Tamandua tetradactyla: one gene and its partners. The protein of the gene in region 1 interacts with the protein of each later gene in a pairwise test. Links are inferred from orthologs where the notes say so. Each region holds a gene or a part of one and is shown in the gene's direction. Other genes may lie near its edges. The genes, in order: HAX1, SAV1 and IL1A.

The links.
Region 2: the proteins of HAX1 (region 1) and SAV1 interact in binary tests that used the Homo sapiens proteins (3 or more experiments, as listed by UniProt). The link is inferred for Tamandua tetradactyla from reciprocal best matches to the Homo sapiens genes HAX1 and SAV1.
Region 3: the proteins of HAX1 (region 1) and IL1A interact in binary tests that used the Homo sapiens proteins (3 or more experiments, as listed by UniProt). The link is inferred for Tamandua tetradactyla from reciprocal best matches to the Homo sapiens genes HAX1 and IL1A.

What each region holds. Positions count from the first base shown.
Region 1 is NC_135330.1:7,218,728-7,226,051, forward strand, and holds HAX1 (HCLS1-associated protein X-1), read left to right. Parts: upstream 1-4,268; 5' UTR 4,269-4,380; coding exon 4,381-4,433; intron 4,434-4,955; coding exon 4,956-5,212; intron 5,213-5,383; coding exon 5,384-5,571; intron 5,572-6,051; coding exon 6,052-6,103; intron 6,104-6,248; coding exon 6,249-6,355; intron 6,356-6,480; coding exon 6,481-6,571; intron 6,572-6,719; coding exon 6,720-6,799; 3' UTR 6,800-6,972; downstream 6,973-7,324. Other genes in the region: UBAP2L (ubiquitin-associated protein 2-like), read left to right, coding at 779-976, 1,392-1,442, 2,298-2,393. UniProt on the Homo sapiens protein: Recruits the Arp2/3 complex to the cell cortex and regulates reorganization of the cortical actin cytoskeleton via its interaction with KCNC3 and the Arp2/3 complex. Slows down the rate of inactivation of KCNC3 channels. Promotes GNA13-mediated cell migration.
Region 2 is NC_135340.1:1,699,716-1,706,822, forward strand, and holds the start of SAV1 (protein salvador homolog 1), read left to right. Parts: upstream 1-4,093; 5' UTR 4,094-4,161; coding exon 4,162-4,255; intron 4,256-6,510; coding exon 6,511-6,954; intron 6,955-7,107. UniProt on the Homo sapiens protein: Regulator of STK3/MST2 and STK4/MST1 in the Hippo signaling pathway which plays a pivotal role in organ size control and tumor suppression by restricting proliferation and promoting apoptosis.
Region 3 is NC_135343.1:337,678-345,433, forward strand, and holds the start of IL1A (interleukin-1 alpha), read left to right. Parts: upstream 1-4,697; 5' UTR 4,698-4,715; intron 4,716-5,183; 5' UTR 5,184-5,222; coding exon 5,223-5,269; intron 5,270-6,114; coding exon 6,115-6,163; intron 6,164-6,810; coding exon 6,811-7,033; intron 7,034-7,756. UniProt on the Homo sapiens protein: Cytokine constitutively present intracellularly in nearly all resting non-hematopoietic cells that plays an important role in inflammation and bridges the innate and adaptive immune systems.

The sequences.
Region 1 (7,324 bases):
TTAATATTTTTATATTTAAATTATATTTAGATTTAATTAAAGTTTTTAATTTTTAATTTTTTTTTGTATGCTGAACGGCGAGGGTCTGCAACTGTTCTTGCCCTTTCCTTTACTTTCCTATTCTCCCAACCCTTCTCATAACTTTCTGAGAGAATGAGTATGGAATGAAAGGAAACTATTTCATCCCATTCTTTGTGAGTAAATAATAAAACTAAAGAGTGGGGAAGAAGACAACTCAGTAATTAAAGAACGAGGCATTAGAGTTATCCACAGGTGGTCTTATTTGTATTGCTTTTTATTCCCCATCATCATAAATATTAAAAGATTGATATAAAGTAATAGGGGTTTAGGGGAGAGCTTCATGGCCAAGACCCTCAATACTTAAAACACCTCAGTTTGTACTCATTTTGAAATATTAACAGGAATTCTAATTTTACCCAACTGCAGAGGTGGAGTTGTTAAAAGCAGTCAGTACATTTCATTATGTTCATATAGAGCATTAGATTTTGAGAAATGTTTTTACTTCCATCCTCATTTGAACCTTACAACCAAAACTTTAGTAGACCAATAGCATCCTCATTTTATGTTTTGCGAAATTGAGTAATTTGCCCAGGAATCATGCTGCTATTAAGGGCAGAGCTGGGACTTTGATTTCAGATGCATTGTTCCTTGTATAACATGAATGCTGCTTTCTTGGGGTTGGGGAGCTTGGGCTTAGAGATTCCAAGCATAAATTTGCTGATCCCTTTTACTCTCTCTCCTCCATTCTCCTGGATAGCAGTCCTTTGAGAAACAAGGTTTTCATTCCGGTACTCCTGCTGCCTCCTTCAACTTGCCTTCAGCCCTAGGAAGTGGGGGGCCCATCAACCCGGCCACAGCTGCTGCCTACCCACCTGCCCCCTTTATGCACATTCTGACCCCCCATCAGCAGCCACACTCCCAGATCCTTCACCATCACCTGCAGCAGGATGGCCAGGTAATAACCCTTCCCCCTTACTCCTTTCCCTTCCTTTTCCTTCCTATCCCTTAAAACTGCCTCCCCTTTCCTTCTCTTACCCTTCCTCACCACCACCTTCACCCAGTCCCTCCCCAGCGCCAGCCATGGGCACACAGCACATACAGACTCAAGCGCACATAACACAAGCGGCCGGCAAAGGAGATGTCAGAGAAGGGGCCAGATTGAAACCTTTTTTGTTCAGTTCCATTGGTGCCTTTCTCTACCTCCTCCCATGGCACAATTGTCCTCATCCCATCAGACCTGGGTCACACCTCCCCTCCTACCTCTCCCAGCCTTCCCCCTTGCCCCAACATTATAGCTTTCCCTTCTAATGGTAGAGTTCTATTGTCAAAGTTTGTCCCTTTATTTTCCATATATCCTGGTTCTGCCTCAGCTACCATATTTGCAGATGATTCTCTGTTGCCAGCGCCAGCAGGAGGAGCAGGTAATGAAACTGAATGATAATATGCTTGAACCCACTCCCTTTCAGTCCCCATTTCATCTTTGCAACCTCAGGGAACTTGAAGAGAAAAGAGATTGCGCGGTCACAAATCGGGATACACAAACACAAACACCTTGCTGAGCTCTCTGGCCTCCCCTTCCTCTTTCCTTTCCTCCCTCAGCACCCTCTTTTTCTTCTACACCCTGATCCAGTTCTGGTATACACTTGATTACTGGAATGGAAAGGATTCTTGGGTCAGCATCTAGAGCCCTGAGACTTCAGACTCTCTTTCCTACCTTGCCTGAAAAGGGAAGGGCTCACAGATGTGACTTATGGTAGGGATGGGGAGCTGTGGGATGGTGTAAAAGACCTCTCCTCCATTGTAGGTGATTGAGGAGCTAGATTAGGGGCTTTCTTGCCTCCATAGACAGCTTTCCAAATAGAGGCATTCATGGAGGAGATCAGTGTAAATGAAATCAACTAGTGATCATTCATCTCCGAGAGGCTGTAATTCTCTGTAGAAAAGAGTAGCCTTTTCCCAGAGCAGGGGCGGCTGATGGGATGAGGGAGGTGGTATTGAAAATAAGTAGAACTGATTCACCATCTCATTTCCAAAGGTATCTTGCCCTCTTTTCATCTTTTCACTATTTAAAGGCTGAAAGTGCCTTTGTGCTGGTCAGAGAGGGGATCTAACCACTCGGAGGATCAGAACTTTCCATGGTTGGGCTTCAGAGTAGCCTCTAAGCAAGGGGAATGGGAGCGTAAGACAACTTCCACATCTCCATGTGAAGATCTCACAGACTTGTCCCACTAACTAGACACCTTTTTCCTCCCCATGATCCTCCCATTCCCCTGCAGACGGGCAGCGGGCAACGTAGCCAGACCAGCTCCATCCCGCAGAAGCCCCAGACCAACAAGTCTGCCTACAACAGCTACAGCTGGGGGGCCAACTGAGGCCCTGACCCTCTTCTCCTGGCCCCATCTTCTGAGAGGGCTTCTCAGCCTGGCAACTATGGAAACAGCATCAAAGAGAAAAAGGAATGTTGGGGGATTCTGCTGCCCCCCACCCCCAGCGGAGCTCCCCATGCCTCAGCTTCATGTCTGTCCCATTCCCATACCATCCCCACCCTGTTGTATGTATTATAGGATTTGTATTTTTTCCTTTTTTTTTTTTTTCTCCTTCCTTTCCTCTTCCTCCTCTTCCCCACTACCCCATGCATTCAAGATTATGAAACTCTGCTGTGGGCCCTGCCCTTCCTTCTCCTCCTCCTGTTCACCCTGGTGGTGTGTGGGTGAGATGGGGAGGTGGGACCCCCAAATATATATCAGCCCAACAGCCCTAAGTCTCCTCCTTTATTATTAGGAAAACAAAACAACAACAACAAAAAAAAAACGGCGTCATGAATATGAACAGCATTGTCAGATGAATTCGTTGAAGTGTTTTTTTTTGTTTTTTTTTTTTTTGTTTTTTTTTTTGTACTGTGTCCTCAAATTTAATGGATTAATGTGTCTTGTATATATAAAAAGAAAACCTCTACCTTCAGCCTCTGCCCATTCTTGCTCCGTCTAGGATATCCTCAGTCTCGTCGATGACCAGCTTGGTGAATAAGTGTTACTGTACCAACTCGGCCTTCTCTAGCAGGCCCTCAAAGGCAGTGGAATAAAATGAAATCTTCGCCCTTCTCTGACCTTAATGTGCTAGTGTCTTGCCCTTGCGGGGTTCCCTTCCTTTAATCCTTAAGAGTCTTACAGCCTGGTGCCTGGAAAGAAGCACCACAACTTTTCATTCCCTCCAGAAACTGATACATCTACAACAGATTTCAAGCAGTGAGGGAGAGGAATAGAGGAGATTGGGTGATGAGGGAAAGACGTAAGGAGGAGCTGAGACTGTTTCAAAGGAATGACTTTGTGGGGTCAAAATATGCAGGGGTCCAAGCAAACTGAAAGAAGTGAGGGTAACATGTACTGTTGGCTTTCAGAACTTAAGCTTTGGGTCCATTACCGTTAAGGGAAGAACATAGTAATTCTTCCTTCTTGAGTGCTTTGGTGTTGCATAGCTATACCCAGTCCCCTGAAAAGGAACCCAGAACAAGGCAGGGGGTGGAGGTTGGAGTGAGGGATGAAGACAGGCTCTGAAAGTAGTCTATGATATGAAAAAGAGAATACTTAAAACCTCAAATTCTTTCTTTACTCCTTCACTACCTTTCCTTCCAGTGTTCTTTTACGAATCCTGTATTCTGCTGGCTTCGGAGCCTATTTCAGAAAATTAATATTTTATAACATTCCCTGGTGGTTGGTGGAATTGAGAAATTATAAATCTATGTATCCTTATGCCTTTTATCTATTTAATTGTGGGTAATTCGATGCGAGAAGGGGCTTGATAAAACCTTTTATCTACCCACTATATTAGACAACCCAGGTCAGTAAAAAAATAGGTTGAAGGACTGAGGTGGCTTCTGGATGTGGTGAGCCAGGGGTGAGGGACATGCGCACATAGGTTCAATTTGGGCGTTTGCGCTGCCCTCTGGCGGCTTTATCCAAATAAAATCCAATCAAACTCTCGAAGCATCTTTTTGGACTGGGCTGGTAAGCGGAAAGAAGATACAGCTTAGAAGGGAGATGATAATTGGAAAATAAAAATTCGAAATAGGATAATTCCGGAATTGGATAATTGGGGGGAAAATATGTCCACTACCTTCAAACTTGTCTGTGAAAGATGATCAAGGGAAAGCCTTTTGAGATTGAGGAGGATCGGCTGTCCGCCCCGCCTTCTCGTCCACGTCGTTTTACGTCCTTTATCGCCCTTTTACGACAACATGCCCGGGCCACAGGTTTGCTTTCTGGCAGCCTGGTCTGACTCGCTTTCCGGTAGCGTAGTGCGGCTGGATCCCGGTGTAATGAGCTGCCGGCGGGTGTTCAAGGCTTGTATTCTTAAGCGGGAATGAGTGTCTTTGACCTGTTCCGGGGCATTTTCGGATTTTCTGGACCTCGGAGGTGAGAGTGGGTCGGGTCGGATAAGGGGATTCTTCTGAGGCGAGCTTGACTCCTAACACCCAACCTTTTGGAAAAACCCTCTTCCCATTCCTGCTGAGAGGACGAAAGTCGCAGCATACAGCACTCACCCCACGACAGTAATCAAGGCGGTCGTTAAGAGGAGAAGAAACAGCACTTCTTTTTCCAACCTGGGGTGATGCAACAGGGGTCCGAGCGGGGAAGACAGTGGAGGTCTAGAAGTAAAGACAAGGAGCCAGTGAGCAGGACCTTGGGAGAGAGGGGAGGGTCTGGGGAACACTGGAGAAAAGGCAGTGAGGGCTTGGGGAGAGCCGCGAGATTGAGGACTGACTTTGATAAAAACTAAAAAACAAAAACTGTCAGCTGTCATGTTTTGGTTTGACAGCCAGCCCTCTCCCCAACCTACCAGATCCTTCTTGCCCTACTTTGCCACCCATGAGTTGATTAAAGGCTAAACACTTGATGATACTAAAATCTTGCTGGCCAATCTACCTCCACCCCCAGCCACAGAGATCCCTTTTTTGGCGGGATGACCCGAGATGAAGATGAGGATGATGAGGAAGAGGAAGAAGGAGGAGACACTTGGAGCCATGGAAGCTCCAGGTTTGGGGTTCCCCATCCCCCTGAGGAATTTGGCTTTGGCTTCAGCCCAGGAGGAGGAATACGTTTCCATGATAACTTCGGCTTTAATGACCTAATACGGGATTTCAATAGCATCTTCAGCGAAATGGGGGCCTGGACCTTGCCTTCCCGCTCTCCTGGTGTGTGAATACTCCTAAGGGAGAACTCATGGGTTCTAGTGGGTTGGTGGGCAATGTAAGAAACGTTCAGGGAGTAGCTGGGGGATGAGAAGTGTGAGAAGATAACTTCAGGAAGTTTAAAGAGCCCACGTCCTTTCACCTGCCCAGCATTGATCTGTCACCTTTCTGCAGAACTTCCAGGTCCTGAGTCAGAGACCCATGGTGAGAGATGGCAGGGGGGAGAGACGCTTCGGGACTCAATGCTTAAGTATCCAGATAGTCACCAGTCCAGGATTTTAGGGGGGGTCTTGGAGAGTGGCGCAGGAACTGAATCCCCCAAATCAACACCAGACTGGGGATTCCAGAGACCTTTTCATAGGGTGAGTACCACATCTAGACTTGAAGTGAGAGCCTGTGAAAGACTTTAAGTAGAGTGCAAAGACTGGAATCTTTGTTGGAAACTGATAGATTTGGGTTGGAATTCTGGGCTCTCCACTGAGTGTGCTTATCTGTTTTGTATATTGAATTTCTTATAAGAATTTTTTTTCGTGGAGGGGGGGCAGGGAATGGAAGTTCTGTCTCTTAAAAAAAATTTTTTTTAAATAATCAGTCCAGGTAATTACTGGATAAGGCAAGATTGTGGGAGGAGGATCAGAAAGTGTCAGTTCAGGAAAGCTTCTTGGTAGAGGGTTACATAAAAGAAAGCTAGGAAGGAGGGGGGGTGGGTAAATCGAGCTAGCCTGAATGGAATTCTTTCTCCTGGGAAAGATGGTTTTAGAACTTTGGAGTAGTTTAGGGCCATGATCCTTCAAATTTTAGGTAGAAAGGTGTCTTTTCACCTACTGTGACTTCTTCCACAGTTTGATAATATGTGGCCTGTGACCCCACATCCTAGAGCCAAAGAGGACAATGGTGAGTCTGGAGGGAGGAGGCATTGACCAGCCCTCTCTTGTTGTCTCAGAGTTCTCTCTGTTGTCCCTTCTGAACTTATTGCTGTACTTCTACTCTTCTTTCCCTCGGACTCTTTTCCCCTGTTTCTTCATCTCTGTTTTTTCAGATCTTGATTCGCAGGTTTCCCAGGAGGGCCTTGGCCCAGTTCTGCAACCCCAGCCAAAATCATACTTCAAGAGCTTCTCTGTGACCAAGATCACTAAGCCAGACGGGGTGAGTTGGGAGAGAGGGGTAGAGGGAAACTGTGTCCAGAGGATGCTCTGGAGACAGGAATTTGTGTAAAGAAACTACTGAACTCACTTTTAGTGACATGAGGGGTGTTGGGGGACTCCTTGTAGACAGTGGAGGAGCGCCGGACTGTGGTAGACAGTGAGGGCCGGTCCAAGACCACAGTAACCCATCAAGAAGGAGACGGCAGTCCTAGATATGGTAAGTGAAGTGCATGAATCAAGAGGTTCATCTCTTAATTCCCCGGGTAAGGGAAACCCTTGTTCTCCTGCCCTTTAATGGTGTTCCTCTCCGTTGCCCCTGCACGGACTCGCTCACTTAGCCTATCTGTGTGTATGTATTCTTCCAGAATTGCCAGGACCTCCAGCCCTAGATGATGCTTCTTCCATCTTGGATTTATTCCTTGGACGTTGGTTCCGGTTCCGGTAGCCTTGTAACCCTCAGAGGCCTTCTTTCCTTACTACATCCCACCTGTTGCTCACCAATAATGGGCTGAGCTTCTCCTGCCATACAGAGGGCTGGGGGTTGTGGAACAGTGAATTGGGGTTATGTCAGTATACTTCTCACCCAGACTGACCAATAAAACCTTTATTTGTGCTAGATCCTTGGCTTTGTTTTGTGGAGGTTGTCTTACTTTCTAGCACACCTAGGACTTCCCAAATTATCTTGACTTGCAACCTCCTTATTGTGTGTTAGAGAAAAATATAATGAGCACAAACAGTAATAGATATTTTTCTCCTTTAAAAAGTTTTTAGTCCATCAATGAGTAAACAAAATGTTACATGTACACTGCGTTGTACTATTATTCTGCCGTAGGACAGAATGAAGTTCTGAGAAATGCTGCAACGTGGAAGGACCTTGAAAACATGCGCAGTGAAATAAACATGACACATAAGGGCAAATATTATATGATGTCACAAGAGATGTCTAAAAATAGCAAATTTGCAGAGGCAC
Region 2 (7,107 bases), on another chromosome or scaffold:
ATTTTAAAAGCCACTGAGTTTAAGCCACAGGGATGATTTGTTATACAGCATTATGGTGGCAACAGCTAACTGATACTTCGACTTCATTAGGTTTCTGTTACGTGCTTAGCGCCCTAGAATATGGTAAGTGCAGATATGAGGCACCATTATTAAAAAATATATATATTTTTGCATATTTCCTTCTGCCCATTTTAGCACAGAACTTTAGGAATGAAAAACACTTTGGAAATGCAGTAGTCCAATTTCTTCATTTTCAGATGAGAAAACTAAGACCCAGAGAGCTATAAGGTTAGCCCAGGTTTGTTTAATGTTATACTAATCAAAAATAGTTGTTAACTCACTAATTGTCTATTTTCTCCACTGAGAATGCAAATGAAAGGGGAAAAATATTTCTATTATGTAATACAGTATTAGCATTGTGTTTGGAGAATTAAAGCTGCAAAATCTGGATTCCTTAATGAAAAATTTCAGAATTCCAGGAATTTCTGGAAAACATGTGAATTCAAAGCCTCTGGATTCAAAGTTCAGATATTTGCTATGCATTGCTACTGCTGATGCTGCCTGCAGACTGTTGATTCTGGCATGCACCCTCTTTGATAAAAAGTCAAATTATAAGTCTTAAAGAGAGTACCTAACAGATTTTTTTTCTTTGTAATTCAAAGAATTGAAATTGCACTGAAAAAGGGAATACTTTGTAGGGAATATGGATGGCCTTCAGAAACAACCGTATTAGAAACAGTCTGGATTATATTACTGGGATTTTTAATATGCTGCAGCAGAGAAAGGCTCAGAATGGGAAAAGAAAATATTTCTGATACTAATCTGCTGTAAACCAGGAATGTGATCTGAGGCAAACCATTTTTCTAGTTTTGTTTCTACATCTATAAAATGAGGTTAGCCTAGCTAATCTCAAAATTCCTTTCCAGTTATAAAATTCAGCGATTTCTTTCCCCCATGAATGTGGAAAGTATCCTCTACTTCAGGCTCTGGGAAAACCCAGGTGGGAAAAATTGACGTTATTAACAAGACCCTAATATCCTTTTTTTCTCTCATCCTTCCAAGGTAAGTAGGCCCTGTGCCGAAGACTAGCACTTTTGGCACCACTTTCTCCTCCATACCCAATCTGTAAGAAAACCCCATTGTTTTTTCATTTATGTTTCATCACTCTTCTCCACCCACCCTACCAACACTTTAGTACCAGTCCTTACTTCTGAACAGGAAGAAGTGACTGCTTTTCTAATGTTCCTCTAAAAGTACAAACTGCTTCTTTTTTTTTTAACATGGGCAGGGACCGGGAATCAAACCCAGGTCCTCTGGCATGGCAGGCGAGGATTCTTCCCTGCTGAGCCACCTTGGCCCACCCTAAACTGCTTCTTTTGAGGTCTGTTCTGTTCTAGCGTTAAAATTTACATTCCCATGGGAGTGATCCTTGATTTCTCTCTTTTCCTCGTGTTCCAATTCAATGCCAGCAACCTCGTTGGCTCTGCCTTGAAAAGATGTTCAAAATCTGACCACTTATTTCCACTGCTATTACTCTGGTCCAAGCCAGCAATAGCTTCGGACCGGTGTCTCCTCTTTGCCCTTTTCCTAAGTCTATTCTTAACAGCACCCAAAGTGATCCTATTCAGAACATCAGGTCGGATGAAGCCACATATCTGCTCAAAGTCAAGGGCCGTCAAGGCTCTAATTTCAATCCCTTGTACTCTCCCCTACATCCCTCTGTGCCTGCTGCACCGACCTCCTTACTGTCCTTCAATCTGCCAGGAATTTGGCCACCTGCAGCGATGCCTTGGCTGTGTTTTCTACCTGGAATATTCTCCCTCCAGACAGCTGCATGGCTGGTTCCCCATGTTCCTGTCTCACGATGCCTTTTCCAGTCACTCCGTCAGTGCCTAAAATTGCAAACCCTCTTCCTGGCTTTCCACCTCAGCTCTTATCACTAACATTCTGTTTTGCATATTATCTTTATCGTATCTTCCCCAGCACAGTAGGGATTTTTGTCTGTTTCATCCATTGATACACCCCAAGGATCTAGAATAGCACCTAGAAGTGGGTGCTCACTAAATATTTGTGGGTTACTCAATGAATAGCAGGAGATCTGTACTAAGAGGGCATAAAAGCATCATGCAAAGATGGAAGTAGACACTAGATAAAATGTTTTTTCATGGCAAAACACAATTTGATCATCGTCTTAATCTGGTGCAGTAGAAAATTCCATACCTTTTGTTAATTGTGGCATAAATTTTGTATCTCTTGTGAAATAAGTTTCAGATCTCAAGGAAAGCATTCTCTATTATTAAAAGTCTAATTTACCCAGGGATGAGCCTGGCCCTGGCACCGTGGGATCAACAATGCCATCCTGACATAAAGGGTGAAAAGAAGTGTAGCAAATAAGGTATCAGTGGCTGAGAGAGTTCAAATAGAGTCAAGCGGTACATGGAAAGTCACTCTTACTTAAACTGAAGTTAGACATTGCTACCTATCATAACTTGCCAAACCCCAAACAAAACCATTCCTGCCAACCGTAAAGAACACCTAGGGCTTTATATAAGATCCTACAAAGCTTCCATACACTAGGGTGACTTTCCAAAACCTACAGCCTCCAGATGGGTGCCTGGTCCAGGTAAGCCCAGCCTCTGCAGAATATCAGCTAGTTCTATCGCCCCTCCCATGTCATCAACAGCCCCGTCCAACATGAAAAGTTAGAATGGGCATAGCCCAGACACCCCTAGAGTGGAGAAGGACCAAAGGTGATGGTGGAGTTGCACAGAGAAGGTCGGGTTTAACAAATGAGCGTGACTGCTCAATCATGACACTGATATTTATTTGAGCTTCCAGTACCTTAGAGGACCTAAAAGTAAAAACCTAAAGTTGTGGAATTGTAACCCAATCCAAACTCTGAAATCTGTTCTACAACTAAGTGTTGTGATGTACTTTGCTTTTATGCATAAATGTTGTTTAAAGGAGAGGAACATAACAAAGATAGGATTTAACACAGATGACTGCTGAATCATACTGATATTTCCGTTGGTCTCCAGTGTCTTGGAGCAGCTGGAAGTAAAAATGAAAAATTGTGGAACCGTAACCTACATCAAACTTAAAATCTGTTGCGTAAGTACTTGTTAAAATGTACTTGGAATTTTATTGCTTTTATGTATGTGTATTTCACAATAAAAAAGTGTAAAAAAACAGGCCTCTTTAGTTCACCTGGGGATAGATCCTATCTTATTTGCTCACGATCCTGTACCTTTGGCAGTTCCCGGTCAGTAACAGCGAAGTGTAGTCCACGCTTTTAAACGGAAAATCCCAAACCCTCATCTCTGGCGTTCAAAGCCCTCAAAACCCGAGGACGGAACTAGCTAATTCCACGAGGAAGTACGTGACTGTTTCCCACCAGTGTGCGACTACACACGTACAGACTCAACACTGCCGTGAACGCGAGGTGCGAAAGCGTCGCCCTTCGTCCTTCCTGCACGGCCGGCGCACTCGGCGGCCCCGCGGCCCGTCCCGGCCGGCCAGCGTCTAACGGACCACTCGTCTCGGTCAGGAGGCTCCAGGTCCTCGCGCAGCGCCGCCCGACGGTGTCCCAGGGCCCGGGCTAGTCACCCGATCCCAGGCCGGCGGGCGTGCAGGGGTCCTGGGGGCAGCGGTGGGGAGGGGCTCCGTGCGGCGCGCGGTCAGGTAGGACACTGGCCGGCCCCCTTCGGCCCCAGTCCCCTGCAGTCTCGCTGCGGAAACCACAGCGGCCGCCCCTCCGCCCCGGAGCCGCGCGGTCAGCCGAGGGCCAGCGCCGACGCCCCGGGAGGCGGGAGCTGGGGTGGGTCCCAGGCGGGCGGCGGGTTTCCCAGAGTTCCCAGCGGCGGGTTTCCCAGAGGCCCCAGCGGCGGGTTTCCCAGAGTTCCCAGCGGCGGTCACTAGGCGGCGGCGGACACTGGTGCGGGTCCATGGCCCGGGCCCGGCTCTGCCGGCCTCTCGTGCTTGCGGTCAGCGCGGCGGCGCGGGCGGACTTCCGGGAGGCGGCTGGGGCGCGGCTGGGCGGCGGGCGGCGCGCGTAGCGCCTGGCCATGCGGCCCGCCCCGCGGGCGCCCCGGGCTGCGGAGAGGACCCGGCGCCGGGCTCTGGGCGGGCCGCGTGGCGCGGCCTCGGGCCTCGGCTGGAGGGATGCTGTCCCGAAAGAAAACTAAAAGCGAAGCGTCCAAGCCGGCGGAGGTGCAGGGCAAGTACGTCAAGAAGGAGACGTCGCCCCTGCTGCGGAGTGAGTGTCGCGGCCCCGCGGGCGCGCGTCTGGCCTTGGTGCCTTCCGCCTTCGTAACTTTTTGGTGCATGGAATGCCGGTTGTTTGAAAATCGCTAAGGGATAAAAGAGCAGGAAACTTGGTTGGTTGTTCCTTCGGGAGAGTCCCTGAAATAGCGCTCCTGGCCGCGGCGAAGGTCCTGCCCACGCTTCCGGAGCGCTCGGGCGTTGTGGGCGCCGAAGTCCGGGACGCGCCTTTTCCTGGTCTGGAGACGCGGAGAGACGCGGAGAGGCGCCCGGTCGGCTACTGTCCGGGCGCCGCCGCCTGTGCAGAGGGGCGCAGAGCAGCCGCTCCCAGGCCCCTCCGCTGGCACCACGGGCCGTGTGTGTGTGTGTGTGTGTGTGTGTGTGTGTGTGTGTGTGTGTGTGAGTGTGTGAGAGAGAGCACCCACGGGCCGTGTGTCTGTGTGAGAGCACCCACAAATCCTGTGTATGTGTGTGAGAGAGCACACACGGACCCTGTGTGTGTGTGTGTGTGTGTGTGTGAGCACCCACGAATCCTGTGTGTGTGTGTGTGAGAGAGTATCCACGGACCGTGTGTGTGTGTGTGTGTGTGAGAAAGAGAGTATCCACGGACCGTGTGTGTGTGTGTGAGAGAGAGAGAGCACACACGGACCCTGTGTGTGTGTGTGTGTGTGTGTGTGTATGTATGTGAGAGCACCCACAAATCCTGTGTGTGTGTGACGGTTTACACCACCCATTTAACAACCCTTTTCAGATTCCAGGGAGGCAAAGTAGCTTAAAACGACTTCCATCCTGTTCTAGGGAAAGTACCAAGAAGTCGTTTAGACTGGAGTAGGATCTGTCTGTCGCCGTGTGACTCTGGCTTCCGAGTGGGCGTGGAGGACGGCGTGATGTAGGAGCTGGTGCCGTGCTGCTCCCGCAGTGCGCCGAGCCCTCGCGTTTCCTTCCCGCGAGCGCGGGGTCCCTCGGGCGCGGCTGGCTCGTGCCCGGTCCGCAGCGCACGGTGGGCCAGACAGCAGGCCAGACAGCAGGCTTCCCCTGCAGCCACGCCGCAGCCTTCTGGGTTCGTTGTCGTGCTGGAAGGGCTTTCCCATAGAGCAGAGCAAGTCCCCTGGGGGCATCAGCTGCCCGAGGCTCATTTGTAAAACCTTTTTTATAGCTTGCTGTACAGTGCACGTGCTCTTAGGTTTTTGGCCAAGGTCTTAAATGATAGTTTGCAGTTTGCTGCACATAGTTTACTAAGCATTACTTGAAGCTCCAAAATATCTTTGCCACACTTTTTGGCAAATAAAAGCTTTTACTATAGTATTTTGTGTTTTAGTTTCATGAAGTGTTTATCCTTACTTATTTGGGCATTGACTTCTTTCTCTCTGAAACCGTTAATATGAATGCCCTCTAATAAGTTTACATAATGGCCACAAATCTCATTTTCTTCGTGTATTAACAGTTTTTGCTTTCTATCTGGGAATATCTGAACTGTTTTCAAGTTCTGTACTAAGAAGTATCTGGAAAAGCCATTGTTCTATTATCTTCTTCAATTGCTTGGTTCTTAGAGGAGCCATAAATTTAGGCTTGGTGAATTTAAACTGATTAAACATTCGTGTACTTCTTTGGAATGAGCCTTTTTAAAAAAATCTTCATATCAAAAACTTTGGCTTTCTAGCTTTTGATTACTCTCCTAGTTCTAGGTAATTCCAAGAGTAAGAAGACTGGATTAATAAGTTCAATTTTTTTTTTGTAAAGGTATCCAACTTCACATATTTTTGGAGTAGCATTATGTTTTGTTTTATCTTAGAAATGTTTGCTTGAAGAAGGAATTTTAGCAATTTCTAAAATGAAGTGAAAAATACCAAAACAAACTATAATCTTACATAATTTTGCTGGTAACTACATAGATGTTTCCTGTTTTACACATTTATTCATGAGTTATTTCATTAAGTATGCATTTTATATTTAAGTTTGTTGGCATTTTTCCATGTTATATATGTATGGTGGTACACAGAATGTATTTGATTCTGGCTGAGCTTACATATAGTACCTTCGTATACAGTATCAATCCATTTGGGTGGGGAAATGTTAATTAGCCTTAATCTTAAACTATCCAGGTACTATTTTAAATAAAAAATTTAAGAGATGTTCTCTTAAGTTCATTGAAACTTTGCATTTTAGGGGTGGTAGGTGTAACCTGACAACTTTTGAAAAGTGTATTTATTATTTGTTGAAATGGTCATTTTATTCTTTGTTTTATTATAGATCTCATGCCTTCATTCATCCGGCATGGTCCAACAATTCCAAGACGAACTGACATCTGTCTTCCAGATTCAAGCCCTAATGCTTTTGCAGCCTCTGGAGATGGAGTAGTTTCAAGAAACCAGAGTTTCCTTAGAACTCCAATTCAGAGAACACCTCATGAAGTAATAAGAAGAGAAAGCAACAGATTGTCTGCACCGTCTTTTCTTGCCAGGAGTCTAGCAGATGTCCCTAGGGAATATGGCTCTTCTCAGTCATTTTTAACTGAAGTTAATTTTGCTGTTGAAAATGGAGACTCTGGTTCCCGATATTATTATTCAGATAACTTTTTTGATGGTCAGAGAAGGCGGCCTTTTGGAGATCGTGTGCGTGAAGACTACAGATACTTCGAATACAATCATGATCTCTTCCAAAGGATGTCACAGAATCAGGGGAGGCATACTTCAGGTGACTGAAAATTAGAAATATTACATTAGTTTATTTGTAGAGCACTGACACTTTAATTCGAAAGATACTCTTTTCTGAGATTTTTTTGGGAAGCTAACAAATATTCCTAGTGAAATACGTTTTCATTTCCCCAGACTTTTTAAACCAGCTTGC
Region 3 (7,756 bases), on another chromosome or scaffold:
CAGAGGGCAGAGCACTAAGACCACACAGGAAGAGTGCAGGAGAGGGAAAGCTAGGCTCCTACTTCTTCCCCTTGGATGTTCATTTTCTTATCAAAACGCTTCAATGCTTGCCCAAACTTTCAGACTCAGAAAAAACCTAAACTTCCTTTTCTTGCATACTAACAAGGCCCAGCCGTCTTCGTGCGTACCAACCTTTCTAGAAAGCGAGGCTGAGTCATAATCACTCAGAAGATGGGGTAAAAAACGGTCATTCCCTTCTGATTTATCAACAACTGTTACATATTTCTGTACTTGGAAAGGAATTTATTTCTATTTATACTCAATGACAAATCAAATTTGCCACTGAAGTAATGAAGAAGAACAGAAAGAGTTAACCACACATCCGCCAGCGACAGCTCTGTGTACAACAGGGAGATTCCCCAAAGCAGGCACAAGGAGGGAGCCCAGATGTGCCACGGGCAGCCTGGAGGCCACGGGCAGGCTGGAGGCCACGGGCAGCCTGGAGGCCACGGGCAGCCTGGAGACCGCGGGCAGCCTGGAGGCCACGGGCAGCCTGGAGGCCACGGGCAGCCTGGAGACCGCGGGCAGCCTGGAGGCCACGGGCAGGCTGGAGACCGCGGGCAGCCTGGAGGCCACGGGCAGCCTGGAGGCCACGGTCAGTCTGGAGGCCACGGGCAGGCTGGAGACCGCGGGCAGCCTGGAGACCGCAGGCAGCCTGGAGGCCACGGACAGGCTTGGAGGCCACGGTCAGTCTGGAGACCGCGGGCAGCCTGGAGGCCATGGGCAGGCTGGAGGCCACGGGCAGCCTGGAGACCGCGGGCAGCCTGGAGGCCACGGGCAGCCTGGAGACCGCAGGCAGCCTGGAGGCCACGGGCAGCCTGGAGGCCACGGGCAGCCTGGAGACCGAGGGCAGCCTGGAGGCCACGGGCAGGCTGGAGACCGCAGGCAGCCTGGAGGCCACGGGCAGCCTGGAGGCCACAGTCAGTCTGGAGACCGCGAGCAGCCTGGAGGCCACGGGCAGGCTGGAGGCCACGGGCAGGCTGGAGACCGCAGGCAGCCTGGAGGCCACGGGCAGCCTGGAGACCGCAGGCAGCCTGGAGGCCACAGGCAGGCTGGAGGCCACGGGCAGCCTGGAGGCCGCGGGCAGCCTGGAGGCCGCGGGCAGCCTGGAGACCGCGGGCAGTCTGGAGGCCACGGGCAGCCTGGAGGCCACGGGCAGCCTGGAGACCGCAGGCAGCCTGGAGGCCACGGGCAGCCTGGAGGCCACGGGCATTCTGGAGCCCACAGAGCCAGGCCTGGAGGCTGCAGGCAGCCTGGAGGCCGCGGGCAGCCGGCCACCGCCGTGGCCACACTCCTCCCGTCACAGCTCCCCTCCAGGCCTCGTGCTGCAACCACCCCTGCTGGGGGAGGACAGTGCGAACCCCCCGTGTGAGGCTCAGCCCCTGCACGGCCTCCAGCCTCATGCCAGGCTTCCCACGGACACATAACAAGTGCTTTGAAGCGCATCGGGTCCTGTACACACACCCGGGTGCAGCGTTGTGGTGACATTTCAACCTGAAGTAGTGACTCCCTCGCACCGACGGTGTGGCAGCCGTTTTATTCTCCCAGATCATACTGGAGTCAAGATTTGGCCGAGATGAAAGCAGCTGATTAGGCTGTGATCTGTCTTACCGGAAAGCTCACCATCCAGGGGGTGAAGGCTCTGCCAAGGGAAAGCTACCATCGCCAGCTCCATCCAGGGACGCGTGTGGGGAGGGACATGGGGGCATACCCAGATCCCCAGCCCGGACTCTTCCAGGGGAAGGGAAGGCGTCGGGCGGCCATGCGGAGCCCCAGAGGAGGACGGACGCCTCGGTGCACAGGCGGAGACCTTGGGGCCTCTTGGCTCCTCTTGCCTGACTGCCAGTGAGGAGGGGGCTCATGGAGTGGGGCGCAGGGCCTCTACCGTCCACCTGCTCCCTGGATTTCGGGAAAGCCAAAACCTAAAGGCCCAGAGAAATAAATCTATATATATGCCCCGAAAAGAAGCACATCATCCTCTTTACATATTTCGTATCTCCTCAACAGCACCTGAAGACTTGTTTTAGAATCCAAAAAGTAAGACAGGTTCTTCTCTGAACTTGAGAAACAAGTTCAGCTCATGGATAACTGTGACTCCAAAGAGGGAAATGACTCAAAAGGAGAGGAATTGCTAAAGCCCGTTTCTGGTGAAGCAACCTACAGGAGTCAGCAGGAAGGCAGCGTGGCCCATGCTGCCCGCTGTGCCCTCTGCCCGGCAGTGCTCCCGGGGCGCTCTGACCCAGACACGCACCACCCGGCGGGCCCATGGGTGGGGATCAGAGCGCGCCACCCCCACCCCACCCTGCAGGCGGTCTGGGGTCCTGCGTCCTCCCACCAGCACCGCCCAGACAGCTGCACAGAAACTGGACCCCGCAACCCCGGACCCCGCACCACGCAGCCCTGGCCCCAAGCTGCCCCACCCGCCCTCCCCCCCTTACTGGCCTGGACGCCCCTCCCCTGGCCTGGAAGCCCCTCCCCTACCTGGAAGCCCCTCCCCCTAGCCTGGACACCCCGCCCCCCCAGGGCCGCGCCCCTCCCCCCACTGGCCCATCTCCCTGCACAGGTGTCCACAGGGTCATGGGCCAGGTGGGGGGCGGCCGCCCGCTCCCTGGGGCTTCGGTCCTGTTCATCCACAGGCAGGAGCACAGAGAGGCTGTGACGAGCAGGTGCCTCTAGCCGTAGGGTATTCTGAGTGAGAAATAGGAGGCAGTGGGTGTGAATTTCAGTTCCTGGCGCATATAAATTGTCCACGTGACCAAGGCAACACCTTCCACTCCACGTCTTTTATATAAGTGAGAGTTTGGCGCGGATGTCTCGCAGGGGCACGCTTCTCCCACGTAGAATCGCAGGCCTTCAGTGGGGCACCGAGGAAAGCAGAAGAACTGAAAAGAAATGTAAAAAGCAAAGGAAGGGCAGAGGCCACAGCGAGGGACAGAAGGGCTGCGGTGTCCGAGCCCGCCGGGGCGACGCGCCGACCTCACAGCTGTGGGCAGATTATTGGTCCCTCCAGCATCCCATGTCCTCATCTGTAGAATGTGAGAGCGAGTCCTGCTCCCACATGGGTGAGGACCCCAGGGACAGGGCGCTGCAGCACCCGGACACGGCTGCCCACATGGGACCTGCTCGGGCCGCAAGGCTGGCTCCCAGCCGCCCTTCTGGGACTTCGGCCCCGAAAGCGACAGTAGGGCCCGCCCCTCTCAGCACCTGGCTCACCAGTCCCTCTTCCAAAACAGTTTCCACAGCCATGTGCGGGAGGCAGTGCCAGGGCCCTGCGGCTGCTTTCTCCCTGCTGAGCTTGCGGGTGGTGCGGCCGCAGGCTGTCCTCAGGGTATAGACTGCACTGGCCACGGGGGCTACAGGCGGCACTGACGATTTGCGTTTAGCTGTGTCCCCATGGCCACCCTCGCACCCTGGGCACCTCGCACAGGTCCCCCAGCCCCGGCCTTACATTTCCCAAAGCAGGGGCTGGACAGGACCACACCCTAGGGGTGCTCGGCCAGCTGCGCCCGCCCTCCCGAGGCCCAGCTGGTCCTCCGTATGCGGGTGGCTCCAAGATCTTGTTCATGACGATCATGACACGTCGACGGCCAGCAGGTGCGGACGCCGGGGCTGGTAGGTCAGGCCGTACGGCCTCCCCACAGTCCCACCCAGCGGCGGCTGGAAGAGACGGCGCCGCCCGCATGCACCACTTTGCACCCATTCTTGGCTGCGTCGCTTTCATGCCATGCGGCTTCTTCTCCTCTTCGCTCTCCTCCTCTTCCCTCTGCTTCCTTTATTTCAAGTTGATGTGGCTCAGACTCCCCTGGGGAACTGGACACGCTCATCTGCTGGGCAGCCTGGTGGTCTCAGGCCACGGGGACAGCCCTCCACCAGGACAGCTCTCCCCAGCCCCTCGGGGTCCACAGCCCTGGAGGCTGCCCCAGCGGCCACACCGGCCTCAGGCGCAGTCACGGCCTGGGGGTCCCGGGGACGCTGCGGCCACTATGCTGCCCCCCGCAGTCCTGGGCACCCTCACCAGCCCTGGGCTCGCACACACACGCATATGCACACTCACCAAATGCATGTGCACACACATATGCACACGTGCACGAACACACATGCACACACAAACGCATGTGCACGCACACACAAACACATGTCCACACACATGCACACGCACACAAACGCATGCGCACATATGCACACATGCATGAACACATATGCACACATGCACAGACAAACGCATGCGTATACGTGCATGCACACAAACTCCAAACACAGACCAAGCCACAAAACACTCCCCCAACTCTAGCCACCCGTGATCCTGATCTCGGGATTCCACCCTTCCTCCCCACCATAGTTTTTACAAACTTGTCATTTCCTGCTCTTCTCCCTTTTTCCACAACTACAGGTCTGTGATTATAAACAGCAAAGCAATAAATAAACAAACCAAGTCAGTTCAGTCCTGGAATCTCTGAAAACAATTTGGCAAAATTATCTAGCAAGTCATTATTTTGTCCAGTATCAAGTTGAGCAAATTCCAGAGCTGCAGAAACAGAATTCTTTCCTGTAAATTCCCCATGACGTCCTCGCGGCCACGCCTACTCAGGACAGTACAATAGGCAGGGCCCTGGCTGCCGGCCACAGAGGCAGTCATTTCAGCACAGCCAACACAGGTACCGTCGTCCCTCCGGCACGGGGGCTGCTGGACGCCTTTTCCCCCTTGCTGCTTTCCTTCCAACTTCCTTCTCTGACGTCTCCCTGGCCCTCCCTTCCCCTGGCTGGGTGAGCTGGGGCCAGTCAGGTCTCAGAGGAACCTGTGTCGTCCTGAGACGGGGAGCCGGCTCCCTCAGGGGCGCTGGCGGGCACCGTGCCTGCCCTCTGGAGGGCACCGGAAATTCCCGGCCCTGCCGCTGCCTGGCATCTCTCCAGGGCAGGCGCTGGCGCTGGTGGTCTTTGACCTATCAGACCACTGTGTGCCATGCCAGACCTGAGGCAGAGTCTAGAAGAGGGTTACAGTTCCATGGGGGCGGCAGATGGTATAAAGTCAGAGTGGAGGAGTGGACGGGAGGAAGGGGGAGACGCTGAGGGTGGCCTCTGGGGCCCGCTCCCCCAGAAGCAAGAGGGGGTCGTTTGCTCTGCAGGCCCCCTGCTCAGAGACCGTTCCTGCCAGCAACACCGAGATGGCCCGAGTCCCTGACCTGTTTGAAGACCTGAAGAGCTGCTACCGGTAACAGATCCTGCCTCAGGTTCCACGGGGGCTGCTGGGGGCTTGCTGGCCCCAGCTGGTGGGGGGGGCGCAGGGGGCCAGGCCTGGGGAGGCCGAAAGAGTTTTCTGCTATCTGTGAGGTCAGGGGGCTTCGGCAGAGACCAGCATGCGAAACCAGTTTAGAAAACCAGTGTCTGAGGTCTGTCCCACCCCATGCATGTCACATCCACTCGCACACAGGCCCGGTCGAGGCCACGTGACACGGGGACACGGGCGTTCGTGGACTGATGGAGAGAGAAACCGTTTCAGGAAAGCTTTCTGATCCCACTCCAAATGGGAACTGGCTCACAGCCCAGCCTCGACAGACAGGACAGATGTTCAATGCATAAACTCTTAAACCAACACAGCACGACCCTAAGTGTGATATATAGTAATGCAGGCTGGACTTCCAGATGGTGCTTGGAGGCTTCTGCCAAGTATAAACGATTAAATCTGTCTTAGTGAATACATGAAAACAATGTGTGACACGTGGTCTGCTTGGTTAAAACAAAAACAGAGGTGCTTCGAAAGTCCCCTTTTGAAGTGCTTACCATGTTACTCTGAAATTCAGTCACAAGGCTTTAGCACGTGAGCAGAGCCGTGCTTCCACAGATAAAGCTCAGCTAGAGTCCACGCCCGGTCCTGCTCATCCCAGGTGGGCGAGCCCCACCTCGCTGGCGGTGACTGTGCACAGAGGCCCTTAATTTTCAAACATGATGGCAAGTGCCAAGGGTGTGATGGCAGAGCTGGCGCAGTCGTGAGGGCACGTTGCCTGGCGACCACAGAGAGGAAACAAACAGCTACATCCCCGCGTCCTGTTTTGACAGTGAGGATGGCGGCTGTGGGCCCGGCAGCGGCGGCGGCGCCCTGGACCAGGTAAGACGGCGGCCGAGGTGTCGGGACGGCGTGCCCAGGCGGGAGCAGCGATGGCGAGTCCGGGCCGGCCTCCCAGGGTGTCTGAGACCCCTAACCAGCTTGCAGAACTGGACAGGACGGTCCCGAAACCCCAAGGCCAGAGTCCCCCGGCCCGGCCTCACAGGCCCCCCGGCCACACGGCCCGAGAAGGACAGGTGTCCTCACTGGCACCCGCCCAGGTCGAGAGGCAGCCCGTCCCACAGCGAAGGAAGCGAGACCCCGGGCAGAGGGACGTGCAGTCACTGCCAGGCTATGCCTGTCTTCAGGGCGGGCTTCAAAGCTGCTTCCACAGGGGAGCCCTAAACTCCTCAGAGCTTAGCCTCAGGGAGGAGCTAGCACGAGGCTATGCTCAGGCTGGTGCTCGCCCAGGGTGTAGCTCCTCATTTTCGGCTTAGCCCATGAAAGGCAAAGTCTTCCTAGGAGAGCACATCCTTTCAAGGAAATCCTGGAGGAGGGAAAGAAGGAGGGAGGGAGGAGGAGGGGAGGAGGGAGGGCAGGGGGGAGGGCGGTGGGGGAGAGGGGTCAGGGGGAGGGAAGCACAGGAGAGGGCGACTGAAGGGTGCCCTCTGCTCCCACGGCAGCCTTGCAGCTTCCTGTCCCGTCCCCAGAGATCCTTCTATGAAGCGAGCTATGGCGCGCGTCCTGAGGGCCACGTGGATAAATGCTGGCCTCTGAGTGCCCCTGCAGCCCCTGCGAGACCCGAGCTGGCCTTGGAGGAGAGTGTGGTGGTGGTGACAGCCCGAGGAAAGGTCCTGAAGAAGAGGCGAAGGAGCCTGAGTGTGGAGGGCAGGGTCGATGGCCTGGAGGCCCCCACCACAGAGCTGGAGGCAGGTGAGGGAGCCCCGTCCCCACTCGGCCACTCTCAAGCGAACGGGCACTGCGGCGGAGGGGGGAGAAAACCTGGAATCAGAGAAGCAGGAGGGCAGCGGGCACTGGACACACCCGCAGGAAGGGAAATCAATCTTAATCCCTCTGCGCGGGGCGGGCTGGAATGCTTGTCCCCAGGCCTGTTACCTGGAGGTTTGTAAAGGACCTTCAGCCCTCAGGGAGAAGGCAGTGCGTACTGTTGCCTGGCGACCACCTCCAAGCCAAGCTCCTCTACTTCCCAGCTGTCCTCCTTGGGCAGTCCCCCAGTCCTCCTGAGCCTCAGTTTCCTCTGCTCGGAAGTGGAGAACTCAGGGTCCGGCCTCACCGGAGAGCTGTGCCGGTCCCAAGCGTCAGGACTCCCCAGTTCCGGCCAGAATATCACCCGGTATACAGTAGGCATACAATCAGTGTTGCTGCTGCTGCTCTCATTAGGGGGAGCCTGCGTCCCTAGCCATCTGTCCAGCGCCCGGCAGGACCTCTGACTCCCTGAAGCCCGAGAGTTGAAGGTCACATGGAGGAAACGAAGGGCTGTCCCGAGCCGAGCAGCGGGGTTGCACATCCCTCCCGCGCCACCTGATCGAAAGCCATGTGTGTTCTCGTCGCCTTCACCCTACAAGCTTCCCATGAGTCCTGTTTCTAACATTACATCTGAATAATAACACACATTCCTTCTAAAAGTTGGAAGAT